Linked DNA regions of Danio rerio. The protein of the gene in region 3 interacts with the protein of the main gene of each other region in a biochemical or structural test. Links are inferred from orthologs where the notes say so. Each region holds a gene or a part of one and is shown on either strand. Other genes may lie near its edges. The genes, in order: tlx1, nek2 and ppp1cc.

Region 1 (8,333 bases), on a different chromosome or scaffold from region 3:
ACTGAACAGGACATTTGTTAACTGGTGCTTGGTCATCATTTCAGACAATTTCTGACTCACCTCAGTGCTGCGTGTTTTTCATTTACTTTTTGCTCGCACACTCCCTTGAGAAGCAGTTTTTGCTTCAAACTATAGATCAATATGAAAGCTAAAGAGAATTTTTTATTTTTTTTCGGAATGCAAGTCTTTTAAAAAATGGTTATAGTTTTTTATGTGGTAAATATATAAGCAGTTGTGTTCTCGAATTTCCTTTTTAACAATACAGGCCAAAAAAAATGCCCGGTTTTCTTCCCCTTTGACATAATGCATTAAGAAGCTCTATTTGCTGGGTTCATCAATCTATTTCAGAGGTTAAAGACAGTGAACCTGACATTCTGTCCTCCAAAAATAAAAGCCTGTTTCCTTTGTCATGGAGCTGAGAACTGTACTTCTACAGCAGTAGCTTTACAAATAGATTAAAGTATAAAGCAATGATTTCCCATATACTCTACCTTAAGTTCTTTTTAGGTGTAAAAATCACGATTTCACTCTTAAAATTAAAGATCATAAAAAAGTGTGTTTTTGCATTATACAGTGTTCAGCACAAATAAGTACAACCCTATTTGAGAAAAAAATATTTTTATCCATTGCTAATATATTTTGGTGCACTTAAACAAAACAATTTTATTAAACAATTATATATTTAGGAATATAAAGATAATACATTTAAATTCAAATTAGTTATTAAACAATTTTTACAAACTACAAATTTGTAACTATTTTCTTTGTTTCTCTTGATTTTTATAACTAACTAATCTAATTTATATACACAATTTTATTATTGTAAAGTGCCCTTTAGAAAATATGAATTTAAAAGAGATATAGTTTCCGAAATAACCGTTTAGTGAGCAGCTCCTTAGAGAAATATTTTTTCTTAACAAAAAATACATTTTAATGATCTGAAGAATCTTTTTCCAAATTCTAAAGGATGATTGAAATTTAATATTTGTCTCTGTAATGCATGGATTTCCATCTTTCATGGACCCACAAATATGACCATTGTCATATTTTGCTGGTCACTATTTACCACCTTTATTGTTTAATGTTTATATACTAAATTTATACTTTGAAAAAATGAAGTAATAAATCATAATACAAAATATAGAACTTATATTACTGTATTTATTCACTTAAAATCTTTTTATTTTTATATTTTACTAACAGTACACTGTTGCATTCATCTGACAAATTTTTATTTTATTTTAGACTTATTAATTAATTCTATTAATTCAATTCTATATTATTTTATACTGAATATATGTAAATTTCCATGGATCCCCTGTCACTCCCTTGTGGCCCCTTGCGGGTCCCTATAGACCCTAGTATTATTTAAAATAGATTTTTTTAAGCCGCTCTTAGAATCTATCATTTTTAGAATGATGCTATATAGTTGCAAATTTGAGTAAAGCGAAATGGCTTGATTGTTTGGCGTGTAGATGAAAGCCCTTCATGAATAGATGCTCTTGAAGCTGTCAGCAGCAGGACTGCGCGCTCTCCACAGATGCAGATGATGGAAGCGGCGCCAGTGAGCGCAGATAGATCACATGTCAAACATTACACAGGTATAGACTGATGAGGATGATGATGCGCCGCAGACAATTCTAACGAAAAAACGGTGCACGTATGGGGGAAGACACATTTAAAGACTGTTTTCCTATATAGCACATCAATCTGTAAATTATTTTAAGCGTCATGGAAAGAAAATTAAATAATTATGAAAATCTGTCATTGTATCAAAGGGATAAACCGTAATTGTTTGCACACACATTTTACGCGAGAAAACCTCAAAACAGATTTGCGCATGAAAAAAACAGTGATAGGAATTCACTTAGAAACTCTTTTCTATGCATTTATTCTTTAAATGCATTTTGATAAACGTGTTTGTTTTGAAATTTAAGTCAATATATTTCCAGTCACATCAGTTTGCATCAGATGAATAAAGTGAAGCCTTAAGTGGGTGCGCAATAAATGACACTTTTCAAGTGGACCTTGGTGAGTGAATAATGGCTATAATTAAACATAATCGGACCGTCCCAAATGATTTCAGCACTTTCAACATCTACTGACTTCATATTTTTTCTTTTAAAACGTATAAAACAAACTAATCGTTTGTATTTTAAGCACCATGCAGCTCACGTATATAACATTTATGATTAAGTCTAGATTACTGAAACAAACAACAAAGAATTTTAGCAAAAATACACACCATTGCACTCATTAAACTTTGATGTCGGTCATTTGGCCTGCATTAATCTAAAGCGCATCAAATATTAATACTTTAATGCGTTAAATAATCACATCCCCTTTCATCTAGAAGGAAATCGATTACCTAATGTGCTTGCTATCCGAATATATTTTGTTGTGTTATTGTCTGATTTAGTAAGATTAATGGATACAAAAGAAAATTAATAATTAATAAAAGTAGTCGTCACAATGCATCGGATCAGTAACCAAAATTATGTGAATTAAATTAATGTCATGGCTAACAATTTTTCAAATAAACGATGAATCTGAAACATTTAGTTCCTTGACATTAACCCATCTTATAATAAGAATGCTGTTTTACACAGTTATAGACGACTATGAATGACTGATTTAATTTCACAATGAAATGTAACATTGTGACACTATTTGTCTTTTAATAAACTCTGTGTGACTTAACCCTCTCTAAAACACTGACAAATGACAGTAATTCTTTTAAATCTAATCCAAAAGTTGATGTCCGCGAAATATTGATTTTTTTTTTTTTGTCGTCTAACAAGAGTGAAAATGACGACCAAGACAAAAAAAAATCAAATGTATCCAAAGACAACAAGAGAGGCTGTGGGGCCAAGATAATAATCTGACCGAAGCAGACATTTTGTGTTGTTTTGAGTAATCGGCCGTGCTTTGCTTTAATAAACCATCTATTTGAGTTGCCCTGTGCTGAAGAGGGAATTCCAGTGGATTTCACTGAACACACTCGACGTGGTTTCTCTAGCCAATTGGGTCTCTCAGCCCAGAATTGGAGGCTTAATTTTACCCAGCCTCTTTGGCATTTTGATTGATGTTCCCGTGGCTCCATCCGGCAGGCTATAGCTATAAGGGTAAAGGGGGGCAGTAAAAGATAATCGTCTGTAGTTCCGTCTTTCTCACACATGCAGTCAATGCAGTTAGATAACGACAAGTCTGGACTAAACTGCGTTTTAGTTGCTGTATGATAACTCGGGTGACGTGGGGGATCGCAGGAGCGCGCGCCTCTCCACACCATGGATCATATGGGAGCGCATCTCCACCAGACGCACGCAGACACCATCAGTTTTGGGATCGATCAGATTCTCAACAATGCAGACCAGGGGAGCTGCATGATCACCAACCCCAGAATGCAGGACCTGGACTACGGTTTGGGCTGCATAGTCAGCACAGCATACAATACCATGACTGGTAACTACAACGTCAATAACTCCTCTGGATACAATGGAAACTCTTGCAGCGTCGGGTCCTACAACATGAACTTGGGCGCGAATGTTAACGGAAATTGCCTTAATTCGTCGGGAGTGATCCGGGTTCCTGCACACCGGCCGCTGGGCAGCGTTCACTCGTCCATTCCCACAAGCGCTGCCACGGTGCCAAGTATGGGAAGCATGGGCACTATTAACAATCTCACGGGATTAACGTTTCCGTGGATGGAGAGTAACAGGAGATATACCAAAGACAGGTTTACAGGTACAGAGACCATCTAAATGTTCTGTAATATTTGCCCGCGCTAGTTTACACAGAATTATGCGTAATTCCAAATTTGCATTGTAAAAAAAGATTTCGTCATGTATAAATACATGCAATCAATGATTCAACTTCTCAGCGGTTAAAGCGGTCGAAAAACTTAAATTTGCCCACTCATAAAATAGCTTAAAGATATTAGGCCAGCAAATATTTAAATTTAGTTGAATTTCCATCGCAGATTCATGGATTAAAATGATTTAAATGAACGTTATGTTTTAAGGACTTTCTAAAAACAATTCAAAGTTCTGTATGCTATAAACTTTTGCCTTGCTAATTAAAAGTATAATCAAATGACTCTTTTTCGATCGCAATGCATCTGAAGGCCAAAAATAAATAAATAAAATTAAATCCACAGAGATTTTTTTTCCTAAGGTAATATGCAAGAAGTAGGCAAGGCATGCAATTTTTACATGGTTGTCAGTTTTTTGGTTTATATATTTATTTATTTATTTATTTATCACACTTTATTACAATTAAGCATATACATAATTTACACGATAGGCCCTATTTGCGGTATAAACATTTTTTTTATAAATTAAATAGGCTACACGATGCAGAGTGAAATTGTACAGTTGTTACTTTAATGTGTCATTGATTTGACAGCAAAAATAACTTTCATTTATGTGATCTAGTTGATTCAAGGCTGAATATGAAGTGTTTAATGTCTAACATTTATTTAAATATTTTATTTCATTCATTATTTTAACATTTAACACGTTACTAGGAAATATTTTGAAATGAGATAGCCTACTCATGTCTATTTGCTTGCTTGGCTGAACTAATTTAATATATTTTGTGATTGTTGCATGTTTTAAAAGGACCAATGTCAACCTTCTTTTCTAAAAGCCGCATTTGCCTTCCACTGCTTGGCTTTTGTCGTTTTGCTGATTTCTTCCGCTTGCTTTTCACTCTGTCTCTCAATCCAGTGGCCCTCTCACCGTTCACTGTAACACGCCGTATAGGTCACCCGTACCAGAACCGAACACCTCCGAAGAAGAAGAAGCCCCGGACGTCGTTCACGCGCCTTCAGATATGTGAGCTGGAGAAACGCTTTCACCGTCAGAAGTATCTGGCGTCAGCCGAGAGAGCAGCCTTAGCGAAAGCACTTAAAATGACTGATGCGCAGGTCAAAACATGGTTCCAGAACAGAAGAACGAAATGGAGGTGAGCTTTTGCGATCTAATCAAGGCTTTACACTCACACGTAATGCATTCTTTTTCGTCTCAGCACTAAACCCAGCAGAGTATTTTGTTTTTAAATAAACCGTGAGGTCAGCTGGGTCAGTTTCATAATGCATTCCATAGGTTTGAAAGGTCTGTTCACTCAATATAGATGCAATCAATAGCTATGTCAGTGGCTAAATGTACTATTTTTATTAAACATATTCCAGGTTATAGTGAAACCAATATATAACCTAAAAATTTTAGTCTTAGTTGCGAAGGTTAATTAACTGATGTTCAATATAGTGATTTAAAAAAGGTTTATGATTAGATCATTTTTATGCAAATTAGTAGAGATATTTAGTACAAATTAATAATTGACATGTGAAATATAAATTATGATGATTCGACTAAATGCGATATTTTCTATGAGAACTTCCAAATTATAGGATATTTACACACACACACACACACACACACACACACACACACACACACACACACAAATACATGTACTGATATAAATTGATATACGTTGGCCTGTTTAAAAAAATAAATAAAAATAACAATTATATATATATATATATATATATATATATATATATATATATATATATATATATATATATATATATATATATATATACAAACATGCCAACGTATATCATTTTATATCAGCTTTTTACTAAATTTTAAATTAATGAAAAAAGTGATATGAACGTTTATGAAACGAAATATGTAAACGAAGTTCATTATTTTAGCAAATCCACATCATCAAGTAGCTATATAGCCTATTATATGAACTATGTAAGCTTGCTATAATAATTATAATAAATTTAAAATGTATATTTTTTGGAACGTTGGACACTATAAATAAAAACTGTGTTCGTTTGAAGCAACAATATATATATATATATATATATATATATATATATATATATATATATATATATATATATATATATATATATATATATATATATATATATATATATATATATATATTATGCATACAAAGAGGGGGTAAACATAGGCTAATTGTATTCTTTGTAAATAAGATTACCTGTATACATTTCTGGCAGATTTTACAAATGAATACGAACGAATACAGATTTTCTGGATTCACTGACTAAAATACTTTTGTTAAACCCATGCAGGCGGCAGACAGCGGAGGAGAGAGAAGCCGAGCGACAACAAGCCAACCGAATTCTAATGCAGCTTCAGCAAGAAGCTTTTCAAAAGACTATAAACCAGCCTGTTACTCCAGACCCAATCTGTCTACACAACAGCTCTCTATTCGCACTTCAGAACCTGCAGCCCTGGACTGAGAACACGGCAAAAATCAGCAGCGTTCCCAACACTGACTGATGGAGACTTGTGGACGCGCGGTGTACAGAGGAATATCCCAACAGCACATTACTTCTTTTAACTAAATTACTATTTTATTTGTAACATGAAACTTGTTTAAAGTAACTTTAATAATTGCCTTTCTCGTGCAGAATAATCAGTTTTGAAATTGATTTTTATAGGTTTGATCATTTCCATTTTAAAATGCAACGAACAAATTGTTATTGCGCATTTGGTTTGTCTCTTGCGCATTCATTTTATTTGGTATATACCATACCTACTTCTAAGATCTGACGCGTGTGATAACACTTTATAATACCTTAAATTAAACATCACAACATTTTACAAATGAAATATAGATAACAAACGTACGAGCCTTAGTTAAATTAGGGGCTTTTCTAAAAGCATAATAATTTAATTTAATTGATATTAGGTCAGAAATCGCCACAGAACTAATTGTGCATGGGCTATGTTAAATTAGAACACCTAAATGGATAAATAAAATTGCCATAGCACACATCTTCCTCCGTCACTAGAAAAAGGCTCTCTGTTCTAATACTTTTTTGTGGAGAAAAAGGAGCATTACTGCTTGTTTGGTGAAGCTAAAACGAATAGTGAACGCCACCTTTCTGATGTAGCCTATGAAATATACGGTAAGCGTCGTTATTAAAATCCTTTTTATTGAAAGAATAGGCACACGCAGGGTGAAAGGTTGCACTTCTTAACCCACAATCGAGCGAAAACTAAAGTTTCTCTTTTACTGTCTTACGACGGTCTCTTTCACTTCTGACAGTTTACAGTCGCGATACCCTCTGTCAGTAGAATGTGAATTGAAAAATTAAGCTATTAAAATCGTTTAATTGGGTGTACTTTGAATATAAAGGAATTAAAAAGTAAATGTATCCAAGTTCAAAGTACTAAATAGTCGATTTGTTCAATATTTAATAGCCTATATGCACATTTTTAACTTGTTCCTACACTGAAAGAAAATGGATAATATTACAGTTATTATAAACTGTTATCACAAAATTAATATTATTATTATTATTAGGCTTACCAATTTGGCTTTTGTTACTATTTTTTTTTATAATCACAGAGGGACCGAATTTTTGCACGTTTGTTAACCTAAGTGGGCTAACATTTTTAAAAATCGACACGATTTAAAAGTAGTCTACAAGGGTCTACATAATGGAATTTCATTTGTTATGCAACTATGGTGAAGACGGGGCGTGAAATAAAGCACTTGTTATGCAGAAATGTTGTTGGGACTTCCCAGAATTATTATTCGTTGTCAAATAGCCTACTTATTTTAACATTATCTGTGACCCTGGACCACAAATCCATGCAGGAACATTTTTTGAATAGCCAAAAATATGGGTTAAATTGTTGATTTTTTAATGCCGCAACTATTAGCTAACACTTTACAAAAAGGTTTTACTTAACGATAGTTCATGTTAGTAAATATAAAACCTTATTGTAAAGTGTGACCCGAAAATTAATTGTTGCATGAAGATATTTTGTATATTTCTTATATGAGTATAGGTATCGAAACCTTTTTAAATTAGTAATATGCATTGCTAGAACTTTATTTGGACATCTTTAAGTGCAGTTTTTTAAATGTTTTTGATTGGTTTTAATTTTTGAATTCCAGTTTTAGAATTGCATGTTTTCAATAGGCTCTCTCAGCCAAATATTGTCGTATCCTAACAGATCATATAAATGGAAAAATGTGGTCCATGGTCACATTTGTAAATTCATGATTGCTGGATAGTTTGTCTTTTGTTGTATATGTGGTTGGAAACCATCTAAAGCAGTAATTTGTCAAGATAATCCACAAATGAGCAGGAGAATTATCAATGCTCAGCACCATGTTCACCTTCAAGTCACAATTGTTTATAACAGTTTATCATAGAAAGATCGACTTATTCTTATAATTGAAAGACTAAGCAGCCTTCTGTTTTTCCTTCATTTCCTTTGGACATGGCGCGACTTATATATTTATATAATTATAGCTTCATGATAAAA
Region 2 (4,097 bases), on a different chromosome or scaffold from region 3:
GGCCCTATTATTCAAGTGAAAATGAATGGTTTTATCTCGGTGTCTGGCAGGCTATTTATCTCGAACTCGTATCCTGTCGTCGGCTGTAAAGGAGAAGTTTGTCAACTTCCATCAGGGCCACGCCCGGAGCCAACCAGCGCCACGAACACAACGCTGCTCCCTAGCGGGCCACCAGTGCACTGTGTAATAGAGCCCTATAAACAAAATCAGTCCTATGTTGCTTAATGTGTAGGCTTTATTTTTATTTTTATTTATTTTTTTTTGGCAAGAAGCAAAATACAATTTACATCAAATTTAATCTATTTTAATGGCAATTATCCATATTGAGTAAACTTCGTATTCCATGAAGACATTTTTGTAACTTTCCAACTATAAATCTTCATAGACAACTTTAAATGGAATTTTTAAATAGTTGTCTCTTGTCTAAATGTATATTACAACAAAAACATAAATATATAAATTATAAATACATATTTCTCATTAATCATGCGTTTGGAAAAATCAGTAGCCAGTTTCTTTTGAAAAAATAAACAAATTGCTTCTTGACTCAAAATCTTTCACCGTTTAAAGCAATGGGTTTAAAGCAGTTCGAAACACCACGGGCTGACGACACCTGCTGGCCACCATATGTATGCAAATAATCATCTTCAGTGTCTGTTGGTTGGATGGTTTGTTTATTTGTTAGTTCTAGATGACTCAGGCTAATATGACATAATCAACACTAAAGATGAATAGGGTAAAACAATAAACAGGTTTTTGTTTGGTTTTGTTACTTTCTATTTGTACATCTAAGAGTGAAATGTTTTTTTTTTTTTTTTTTTTGGAGAGGGGAGTTAGTGGTCTCTCTTTTTATCACTTCATAATTCTAGCTAAATGTATTATTATTAACTGTGATCAGGCAAAACTGTTGTGTGGTTCACCGTTAATGAAGTTGGAAATAGTGATTTTTAATAAAGCTATATGCCTGCTTACGTTACCTAAAGTCAAATCACTAATCAAATAATGATTATAAATAATTACAACTTTGAAATTTGTTCTGACTATTGATGTCAATGGCTGCTCCTTTCCAGCTACTTTATTTTCAAAAGATGAAAGATGTTCATAAAGGTTTGGACAGGACAACTTTAATATACGACGCTGTTCCCGGGCGTTCTCGCGGTTCTTCGGCGCCTGGCAACGTGCACGCTGTGCGTCTGTACGGACCAATGAGATCACTGCCAGCCATCGAGCAGAGCCAATCAGAATCCGGCGTTTGCGCACACGTTTGAAAATCAGCTTATTTTGTCGCGTCTGTTTGTTTCTCAACTCACAAAATACGTACACGCGTTTTAACTAAGGGTAAACAATAAAACACACTGGAAGTAAAACCACAGCGTTCAAGTAGTGAGTGAGTTACGGTAAGTGAACTCATTTCGTTAATCATGTGTTGTGTTATCCTTACAGTTCGCTAATGATAAATAATTGAGGTCTGCTGTATTTGTGAAGTGTGTTTGGATCTGCTGAGTTGCTGTTGAACGCGATGCCATCCAAAACTGAAGACTACGAGGTGCTGCTCACCATAGGATGTGGATCTTATGGAAAATGCCAGAAAATCAAAAGGAAATCCGATGGAAAGGTTGATAACATACCGACTTAACTGAGCTTTGCATAAATAGTATGCTTTTGTATACTTTCTGTAATCGACCTTTAATAAAAACAGCTAATGGTTAAGGTTAAGGTGGTCTTATATTCGCACATTCTGACTTTCTTCTTTAATTAATTTCAGAAAAGTGTTTTTTTGTTGTTGGAAATACTAAATAGGGAAGTCATATTAAGAGCCAATGGCTATCAAAGCACAACATTGTTTTCAGTCAGTAAATAGTGCTGTTGTTGTTTTGAAAGTATACTTAAATGCAATTTAGGTCAGAATATTCAACATGGAATGAATATCAAAATCGGAAGCGTTAAAATGAACGAATATGCGTATTTTAAAACAAATGTTCCTAAATGTTAGGAATCAAAGGCTGAAGCGGTCCCCAAAAAGTTGCATATTGTATCAAGCTGTTTATGCTCAAATTCACGTTAATTTATACCGTTTGTATGTTGGCGTGTCATAATAATCAATATATTGACTTATGAACATATGGACATGACCTCAATAATTTTTTTGTGATTCAATATATATCGCTCATACATAATAAAAACTATTATAGTAACGTTTTAGCTGATTTTGGAGCTCATATTGGATTTGTGAGCATCAGTATGGTTAAAAACACTAGTATTTAGTAGAAATTCCTATTGTATGTTTTCACGTGGGTGTCTGACAGCTGAAAATAGATCTGGTAGCAGATATCACAGCCTCTTTTACTTTTTACCTCACAATTTTTGTTAATATTTATTATTATTCATTTAGTATAGGCATTTTCACACTCTGATTCCAATGCCTAATTATTAAATTGATTAAATTCCAATGCCTAATTATTAAATTGGTTAAATTACTATAATTAAATTAAATATTCATAAGAAAATATGTGTTGTTTGGAAGAGTGTACTTGCATTGTGATGCTATTATATTGTCAATACCACAATATATTTTGGTGCAACATAGAATCAGATATTATGACAGGCCTATTTGTATGTTATGATCTAGTGCAACTAGAAAAGTAATATTGCCAGCTGGTCGTAGCAGATTCTTTGGTGTTTTTCCCAGTGGATTGATCTGAATCATGTCTTATCTAGATTCTGGTCTGGAAGGTTCTGGACTATGGCACTATGGCCGAGGGAGAGAAACAGATGCTGGTGTCAGAAGTCAACTTGCTCCGTGAGCTGAAGCACCCAAATATCGTCCGATACCATGACCGAATTATTGACAGAACGAACACGACATTATATATAGTGATGGAATACTGTGAGGGTGGAGATCTCGCCAGCCTCATCAACAGAAGCATCAAAGACAAGTAACGTTACAATATATGAAAGTTGATCCAAAAATGAACCCTTCCTCATTTTCTCACAGTGGTTTGAAACTTTTAGAAATGTCTTTTTTTCTGTTGAACACAAAGCAAGATATCCTGAAAAATATCAAATAAACCATTGACATTCATTTTTAGGAACAAATTTATTGATATCGGTCGGTGGGTATTTTTTCTTCGGTATCTTCTTTTGGGTTTGACAGAAGAAAGGAACTCAAACACATTTGAAACAAGTAAATATAGACAGAATTTTCATTTTTGTGTGAACAATCTCTTTAAACTTCTGCTGTTTTGTTGTTCAAGCTTCTTCTAAATTACAGATTTTTTTTTTCCCCTTTCTTTGCAGGCGATACCTGGAGGAAGAATTCATCCTGCGTGTGATGGCACAGTTGTCTCTGGCGTTAAAAGAATGCCATGGTAGGAGTAACGGCAGCAGTACAGTTCTGCACCGAGACCTGAAACCAGCAAACATCTTTCTGGATGCCAAACAGAATGTAAAGCTTGGCGATTTCGGTTTAGCTCGCATACTAAACCACGATACAAGCTTTGCTAAAACGTTTGTTGGAACGCCATATTACATGTCGCCAGTAAGTGTTCTTTATCTTGAAGCATTCACCTTTTGTCCATTTATTAATACAATCATTTAAATATGGTAGGGCAGGGGGATGTCAGTATATAAGTGACAGTCTTGTATCCTAATAATCTTTATTTCTTTTACTATGTAGATTGTGTCAAAGCAGCTTAACATAGAAGTTGTATTAAATTGAAACTCTCAGTTCAGTTTTGCTCTTCAGTGTTTGGACTAAGCTGTAAAAATTAAACCACACTGAACTGAACTAATCCATCGATGCTCAGATCCACAAGTCCCAAATTAAGCGAGCCATGATAATCTTATATATCATAGCACTTTTTCTGTAAATTCAGTCAATTAATAGTTTATATTCTGTATATTGAGTTTATCGAAAGCACTATTTCTATTTATTGAGGTAAAGTTGGTTTTTGGGCCATTCCAAACCTCAACATTTATTTTTATAAAAAAAAAAAAAAATGAAAAAAGAGCTCATGAATATTACAATAAATTGTAAGTAAAAGATATTTGAAAAAGTATTGGTTACCAAATTGTTTGTTATACTGCTTGCCTTCTTT
Region 3 (8,318 bases):
TTTGGAGAGTGACTACATGGATATTTCTTTCACTGTCATTGACTTAACATTGAACAAACTTTGTGAGCTCATACTATTTATCTATACTATTTCAAACTGTTTTACCTTTATCTATCTATCTATCTATCTATCTATCTATCTATCTATCTATCTATCTATCTATCTATCTATCTATCTATCTATCTATCTGTCTGTCTGTCTGTCTGTCTGTCTGTCTGTCTGTCTGTCTGTCTGTCTGTCTGTCTGTCTGTCTGTCTGTCTGTCTGTCTGTCTGTCTGTCTGTCTGTCTGTCTGTCTGTCTGTCTGTCTGTCTGTCTATTTATCTATCTACTCATACTTTTTTCAAACTGTTTTAAACTAAAAAACTATTACCAACAGGCTTTGTCAAGCCAGCCTCAAAGTTTGTCTCGACAAACTTAAATAATCTAGTTATTATTATTATTATTATTATTATTATTATTATTATTATTATTCAGAATCAGAATCAGAATTGGTTTTATTGCCAAGTGTGCTTCACACACAAGGAATTTGTTTTGGCTATAGAAGCTTCCAGTGTACATAAAGTGACGAGTGACAACACAAAATAAATATAGAAAAAAGAAAGACTATAAACATAAAACAGAGATGGGGTTAGTCAGACAGATCTGGATGTTGATACATATTAGTTATAAATATGCAGATTATGTGGTGCTGTGTCAAAAATTATTATTATTATTATTATTATTATTATTATTATTATTATTATTAGGCTATTATTATTATTATTAGGCTATTATTATTATTATTATTATTATTAGGCTATTATTATTATTATTATTATTATTATTATTATTAGGCTATTATTATTATTATTATTATTATTCGGCTATTATTATTATTATTATTATTATCATTATTATAATTATTAGGCTATTATTATTATTATTAGGCTATTATTATTATTATTATTATTATTATTATTATTATTATTAGGCTATTATTATTATTATTATTATTAGGCTATTATTATTATTATTATTATTATTATTATTATTATTATTATTATTATTATTATTATTATTATTATTATTATTCATTTAGGTTCTGTTGTGTTTGTATTAGGCTATGTGTTGGGTTTCTAACCACAATCTGTTCAGATGCTATGAAAAGTAAGTGCACATTACAGGAAACAAACACCAGAGGACGCTACAGTTCTGTTTCATTGAGGCAGGAATGAAAAATATCTCCTTTTCGTTGAGAAAAGCACATGCTGTTTATCATATAATTAACATATGGTAATAGCTTTTTAAAATGTGAGTTTTGCAAAAATGAATTTATACACAATGTTGTTTTGTCAGAGATGTGTCAGTGTTTTTAATGTGGTTTATTCAGAGGTACATTATGCAATTAATCTGAGGTGATCAGGATGCTGGAACAAGAACTAATTTCCCCCTAAAAGATGAGATGGTGAACATCTGATGCGGAACAGAGTTTGCTGTTGTGTTAGAGATAAGATATATTGATGACATATTATACATATTATTGACATAATGCTTTCAGCGTATTACAACAGCTCGTCACCCAGTGATAAGCACAGTTGTTCAGCAAAATTAAGGTTAAAGTGAGCAGCGTTCATCTGTGATAGCACCCTCCTAATGGATATTGGATAAGACGAGATGGCCAAGCATCCAGCCCAAAATATACAACTATCTCACTAAAACTCCAAGTGTTTTACAAGAGAGAAGTTAAAGACATACAAATCTTTGGATGCCAACAGTTTTGCTCTGAGCAAGAAATAATACTCCATGATAACCAGATTCAACACTGTAGAGCTGAAAACTGAGGTTCTGCCCAGCCAAAGACAAGGAAAGAAGACGGAGCTGTACAAGGCCTGGATAATCATCAACAAGCAGAACTACTGCATTCTCACAGCAAACTACACCTGTACAGCAGGTTATGTGAACACACATTTCATTCTAGGCATTCAGTGTCCGCAGTTTAATTAACCATATTGAACTGTTTTTGCTGCAATCAAAAACCAGTAACGTGTCTGATTCAGCATAGCGTGAACTCACCTGATATAACATGAGAACTGCAGAGTCCAGCATTTCTAATTAGGTCCTCACTCCATTCAGCTCCCTTATAGCTAAATATGTCTGCAGTTGGCATTAAAGCAGTGTGGTGTACGGTAAATGTTAAGCTGCATTTGAAAAGTTGGATTTGGCACCCTACCGCACAACTATTACTATTGACACCAGGAACCCCTGTGACGTAGGTTGATAATTTCTCTAAATATAGGCTTAAGTTTTTTAATTTAAAACAACTTTGAACAGATTCCTTATTTTATGATGGATAATAATAAATTAGCATTTGAAAAAATAAGTATTTTTTCGAATTTCTTAGTTCAAAATGTTTAATTTAAATTCTAATCTCATTACATTATTTGTAAAAAGTAATAGTGTAAATTTTAAATGCACAGTTGTAAATAAACACAATTTTTTGTTAATAGTATGGTAAGCACTTTGACAAAAATATAGGAAAATATTTGTTGCGTCAAAAAGTATTGTAATGATAACCATCCGACAAGCTAATCCAAAAATTTGTGCTTAAAATGTCAATGTATTTGATAAAAATGAGCCGAATAGCTGCAAAAAGTTCCACTTTTTGAGAACCCTTTTAATAGGCTGGCTACGGGCCTGCATTGCAATGCTGTAGTATTTTTAATACCTAAATTAGCATGAATTAAATGCATACTGAGTAAATACCTTACCACAAATGACAAAATATGTAATGGTATTGACAGTTGACAAAGGATGAGGTTAGTTAACATGAAAAGTAATGTCAAATACTATAAAACTAGTTTTTTTTTAATGCCAAAATCAGCATTAATTAATTTCTAATGCAAAAATACTACAAATTAAATAATATTTTTTTTACTATAATGAATGACAATTGACAAAAAAATGTGGTTAGTTAATATAAAAGGTCATGTCAAATACTGTAAAACTAGATTTTATGCCAAAATTAATAATTTTTTATTAGGTTATTATAATAAATAACAGTTGACAAGGCATCTGGTTAATTAACATAAACAGAACTGTCAAATAATGTAATACTAGTACATGTGTATACCCGAATCAGCATAAATTAAATGCATAATGCAATTTTTTCAAATGAAATAATATTTGTATTAGGTCTACTGTAATAACAGCATGCCAAAAGACGTTGTTGGTTAAAATAAATAATTATGTTAATGTGTAGGATATGTTTTAAACATGTGTTTTTAAAAGTTTTTCATTGCAATTAACATTCAACGTCACACGTTATTGTGAAAGTCAGCGGCACGCCCTCCTCTTTCCTCCGCACTACTTTTCTTCCTTTCCTTTGTGTTCATCCGCCCTCCCGTTTCCATCAGCGGTGAAACCGAGCCGAATTGCGTGTCCTTCCGCAGAGCCGGTGCGCCACCGCCGCAGCACGCGCGTCTAACGGGCCCGCTCGAGCATTTTAATCTTTTCTTTTAGAGTTTTGTGATTAACCAGTTTGTTTTTAATCGAAGTCGTTTTATCTGTCGTGTCTGGTGTGTTTTAAGCGGTGGTGTTTGTGTTTTTATCGGCTAGTCATGGCTGACATCGACAAACTCAACATAGACAGCATCATTCAGCGCCTGCTCGAGGGTGAGTTTCAAGCCAAGTGACAGCTAAAATGTACTTTTAATAACATAAGTAACTATATAATTGCCATAAGGGTTGTGTGTGTATATGTATATGCTTGATCTATCAACTCTGTCGTTTTTATGGATGTTACGTTAGCTGAGCTAGCGAGAGTTAGCTGCGCATTAGCTCTGCTCACTGACACAAACGGCTGTGTGTCAAATACAGAGTTTTCTACATAGACACTATACTGATATATTTGAAGATTATATATTATTGGTTGGTTTCGAATGGACAGTACTTTTGACTATAAAATACACTCTGTGTGGGCAGTTCACTGGTGTTTGTGACACTGCCAAGCTGTACGCGCGGTTTCGGTGCTTCAGTAAACACATTACGTTAGTACACTGACTAATGCTGATATTATGATATTGAATACATATTTGAGCATCAAAACAGCTGTTTATTAGTGTACCACAGTCATTAAAATTAACAACAGGGCTTGAAATGTCAAAAGTGTGATTTCTAGCGCTAGGAAAAACAATATTTTTGAGTTCAACCCAAATTTATACAATTTGAGGGTGTCATCTCTATAAAATGTTTATTAAAAATCCTTGCTTTAATTAGACATCTTAAAACCTTATTTAATGACTAACAATATGAAACTGTTGAAAATGAGAACTTTAAAACATGATAAACTCTTAATTCTGATTGAATATGAACACTGTATTTGCTTATATTATGACTTTAAACATGTATTATTATTACATGTAAATATATTTTTTAGGGGGGGAAGGACATCACATCCTGTACAACTGCAGGTTATACAGTGTTCATACAGTCATGGAAAACCTGGAAAAGTCATGGAATTTTTACATGGCATTTTCCAGGCCTGGAAAAGTTTTGGAAAAACAGAAAAACCTACACAGTTTTAGAAAAGTCATGACAAATACTTGAATATAGGCTTTTCTCTTATTTTCTGTCCTTGGCCAATCACATACTCTCATATTATTAGTGCGGTGTAAGCATTATCTAAATTAATTTTGCATGGATATAAATTGAAAGTAAATGGATTGTTGCATGTTTTATGCTATGCTCTAATAAATTTGAACATGCATTGCTTTTCTTTTACCACGCATATGTAGACATTGCATGAAACATTAGGTCATGAACATTTACATGAAAGTCTTGGCAAAATCATGAAATTTTAGTAGTAAAAATGTGTATGAGCCCAACTATGTTTACAACATTTTAGCTTTTTTTTGAATTGACTGTAATGAAATGTGCACCTTTTGTAAAGCTGCTTTGAAATGAATTATTGTGAAAAGCACTATACAAATAGATTTATATTTTATTATACAATGAATTGTATCTTTGCAAAATATAATTGCTTTCTGGAATGCATTATAAAAGCAGCAGGTGCAATAAAGGCAGAATGATTATGCAAGATTTTATAGTTTTATTGTATACAGTGAAGAAATGCATTTACATAACATTTCTCGCTTGTTTAATTTTTATATGCAACACAGTTCATATTGGCAGATATTATTATTTAGACTAACATTAAATGTATTATTAAGGTATGTATCCTTCATAAGCGGGTCTGACTTCAGATTTAGCACTGCAGCAGCTTTGACCCATTTTTACTTGTACTTTCTGCAGTAGTGATTTCAGCATCATACACATACTGATATGCATGTGCTTTTACTTTGTCCTCTTACACTGTAAAAAATATATTAGTGAACAGTTTCTCTATTTTGTGTGTTTTGGGTTTATTTGCGGTGGCAAATTGCATTATGCTATGTTGATCTCTCCTCTGTTGTATTTTTAACATCAAAAGTGCACAAAGTGACTTATTCACATTTTAGTCATTTGAAATAATAATATCATGTATAAAAATAATATCTAAAGAAATAAGTCTGTTAAAGAATAGAAAATGTTTGTTACAATGTTTTTGTAGCGTAATATACAACACCAACCAGACAGTATATCACTTTAAGCTATTAAAAAAGTAAATAAGTCACTTTTTTTAACTTTACAAGGTTAAAAGTTGTTGGAGGAAAGTAATAATCCAATTCAAAAGCGTAAATAAATGGGGGAAAGTAAAAACATGAATCACAAAATACATAAAACTGCTTATTTAAAGATTTTTTATTGCTTAGGTTTATTTTTATGCAGTGTGAAATAATGGCTGCGCTAAAATTTTGACATTGTCATGGAGAGATGCTATAAATTATATTTGGGTAATAATAATGCATAATGTTTAATTATGATGCACCTTTCTAAGCTCAAAGCGCCACAACATTTACAAACATAAGGTTGCAACCAAAGCCTAAATTACAAACTTTCATAATCAAATCTCTGTATTAATTCACATCGCAATAATGAATAAAAAACAATTAAGCAAATTTATTTTTTAAAATGTCAGTGATATCACAAATGGGCAAATATGGCTCTAAATTTAAAATTATTTATTTTAAAATAAATATATTACCAGTATATTAGGAACACCCTACTCCTTGCATATTTTCTAAGATTCCTCTGTTAAATATTTTATTAGACTGTCCTGCTTTTAATGTTTGTAGAAGACTTTTAATGAAGTTTTAAATAATTATTCAGTAAAGATTTGACCGAAAAACGTTTTTGAATTTTTCTTATATATTAATGTAAAATGCCTGATGTATCTTGTTTGTTTGTATGTTTTTATTGCTTGTTTGAATAGTTTTTTCTTTTTGCTTTAAAATTAAAGGCTACAATCAACAGCCCAAATTATTACTTTTGTTTTTTATTAATCTTCCAAATCAGTACTCCGATTAAAAAAATGTCTGCAAACATGTAAAAGCCATATTTTTCCCTAAAATCTACATTTGTAACATTGTTTCTGCTTTGGTGAAATATAAGACACATGCACCTTACTAAAGACCAATAGCAAACATTTACAGCACAATTATGTGCTTTTAAGCATGGTGAGCAGAACATGCACACCTTTAATTATCCCCAGAAATGTTTACAGAAATAATAACCATGATTTATTGTTTATGCATCAACATCAAGGCCAGAACTAATGAATACATTGACTGCATAAAAAAAGAGTTTTTTTGCTATAAAATGTCAGGATGAAAAGCAAAGAAAAAGGAAAGCAATATATGGTAACACTTATACACACTAGTCATTCATTATTTCATTCATTTTCCTTTGGCTTACTCTCTTTATTTATCAGGGTTCGCCACAGCGGAATGAACCACCAACTTATCCACTATCCAGCATATGTTTTACGCAGTGGATGCCCTTGCTATTTAATTTATTCAATTCCCCTATAGCGCATGTGTTTGGACTAAAGGCATGGGCCGGTATAAGATTCTGACGGTATAATAACCTTGTATAAAAGTATCACAGTTTTGCGGTATTGGGATTACTGTACTAAAATATATATATTTTAAATGTCTGGGAAAAAACCTAAAACTTTTTTCCCTTTTGAACACAGTAGGTTTTACTTTGAGAAACATTTAAAATATTTAGGAGCAGAAAATGTGTCAGGCTAAATGAATTATTGACTTCTGCTGTCTTTATTTGTTTTAAAAACTTTTTTTTTTTACAATTTAAAACGGCATCTTCTGCTGAAGATACTGTTGTCTTAAAAACACACACGCACGCACGCACGCACGCACACACACACACACACACACACACACATACACACACACACACACACAAAAACGTTTATAAAAATCATAAACATACCTTAGGGATGGTATTGCAGAAAATTTTCACCATTTTAAAACCTTGGCTTTTCCAAACCGTGGTGTACCTTGGTGTTGACTGTCTCAATTCAGGCTAAACTGCTGGCTTATAACCTGCCTATTATTAAGATATTGACTGTTGATTATTAGTTATAAATTACGTTTTTATTCTATATCCCTAATCCTACCCAACCCCCCAAAAAAACTCTTTTACCTTATAACTATTAATAAACAGAAATTAGTAGTTTATTAAACTAATAATGCCAGTTATCGGTTTGTTAATGTCATGAGTTGTGACCTAAACCTTTGTGTCAGCTGGAAGATTTTTTTTAAATGACCAGATTCAGTCTTGCTTAATTTCCCTTTTTGCATACTTTTATGACTAATTATGCCATTATTTGATATCAGCTCTTTAAGCCTAATATCTATTTTTATGTGAGCTCCTCCTCTCGTGATGCTTTATAATGTTAACAGTGTTTCGTAGAAACCTCACCCTGTTTTTCCGCCTTCTCAGAGTTTAGATGGAGCCAGTTGCACCACCTGCATGTTTATTGCTATACAGCCTAGAAACTAGGCAGGGCGTGAGGAGTGTACTTATATCTGCTTGACTAGTATTAATACGGCTGTCCCCTTGGCAGTCTGCTCTCGTTATATAACCGTGGACAGTGTTATGCTGCTCGACACGGTGCCAAGTCCTTCTACAAATTTGTTTTATTTTTTAATTATTATTTTTAATTATTATTTTTATTTATTTATGAATTGAACTTATGAACTTATTGAAATATGAACTTATTAGGATGAAAAGTATAAAATATATCAGCATCTCACATGGCTTTACAGCTGTAAAATTAAACCATACAGAAATCGTTTCATACCTGCAGCAATTAAACAGTTAAAAAAAGGTGTTTCTGTGTCTTGTAGTCTTGTAAGTCATTTGCACTATGTTAGA

Evidence for each region.
Region 1: the proteins of ppp1cc (region 3) and tlx1 form a complex in vitro, tested with the Homo sapiens proteins (2 studies listed by BioGRID). The link is inferred for Danio rerio from reciprocal best matches to the Homo sapiens genes PPP1CC and TLX1.
Region 2: the proteins of ppp1cc (region 3) and nek2 interact in far-western blotting, tested with the Homo sapiens proteins (2 studies listed by BioGRID and IntAct). The link is inferred for Danio rerio from reciprocal best matches to the Homo sapiens genes PPP1CC and NEK2.

What each region holds. Positions count from the first base shown.
Region 1 is NC_133188.1:31,652,651-31,660,983, reverse strand, and holds tlx1 (T-cell leukemia homeobox protein 1), read left to right. Parts: upstream 1-3,175; 5' UTR 3,176-3,287; coding exon 3,288-3,744; intron 3,745-4,727; coding exon 4,728-4,965; intron 4,966-6,118; coding exon 6,119-6,329; 3' UTR 6,330-7,534; downstream 7,535-8,333. UniProt on the Homo sapiens protein: Controls the genesis of the spleen. Binds to the DNA sequence 5'-GGCGGTAAGTGG-3'.
Region 2 is NC_133195.1:15,119,767-15,123,863, forward strand, and holds the start of nek2 (serine/threonine-protein kinase Nek2), read left to right. Parts: upstream 1-1,297; 5' UTR 1,298-1,397; intron 1,398-1,485; 5' UTR 1,486-1,519; coding exon 1,520-1,615; intron 1,616-2,718; coding exon 2,719-2,936; intron 2,937-3,297; coding exon 3,298-3,538; intron 3,539-4,097. UniProt on the Homo sapiens protein: Protein kinase which is involved in the control of centrosome separation and bipolar spindle formation in mitotic cells and chromatin condensation in meiotic cells.
Region 3 is NC_133180.1:2,462,372-2,470,689, forward strand, and holds the start of ppp1cc (serine/threonine-protein phosphatase PP1-gamma catalytic subunit A), read left to right. Parts: upstream 1-3,416; 5' UTR 3,417-3,598; coding exon 3,599-3,653; intron 3,654-8,318. UniProt on the Homo sapiens protein: Protein phosphatase that associates with over 200 regulatory proteins to form highly specific holoenzymes which dephosphorylate hundreds of biological targets.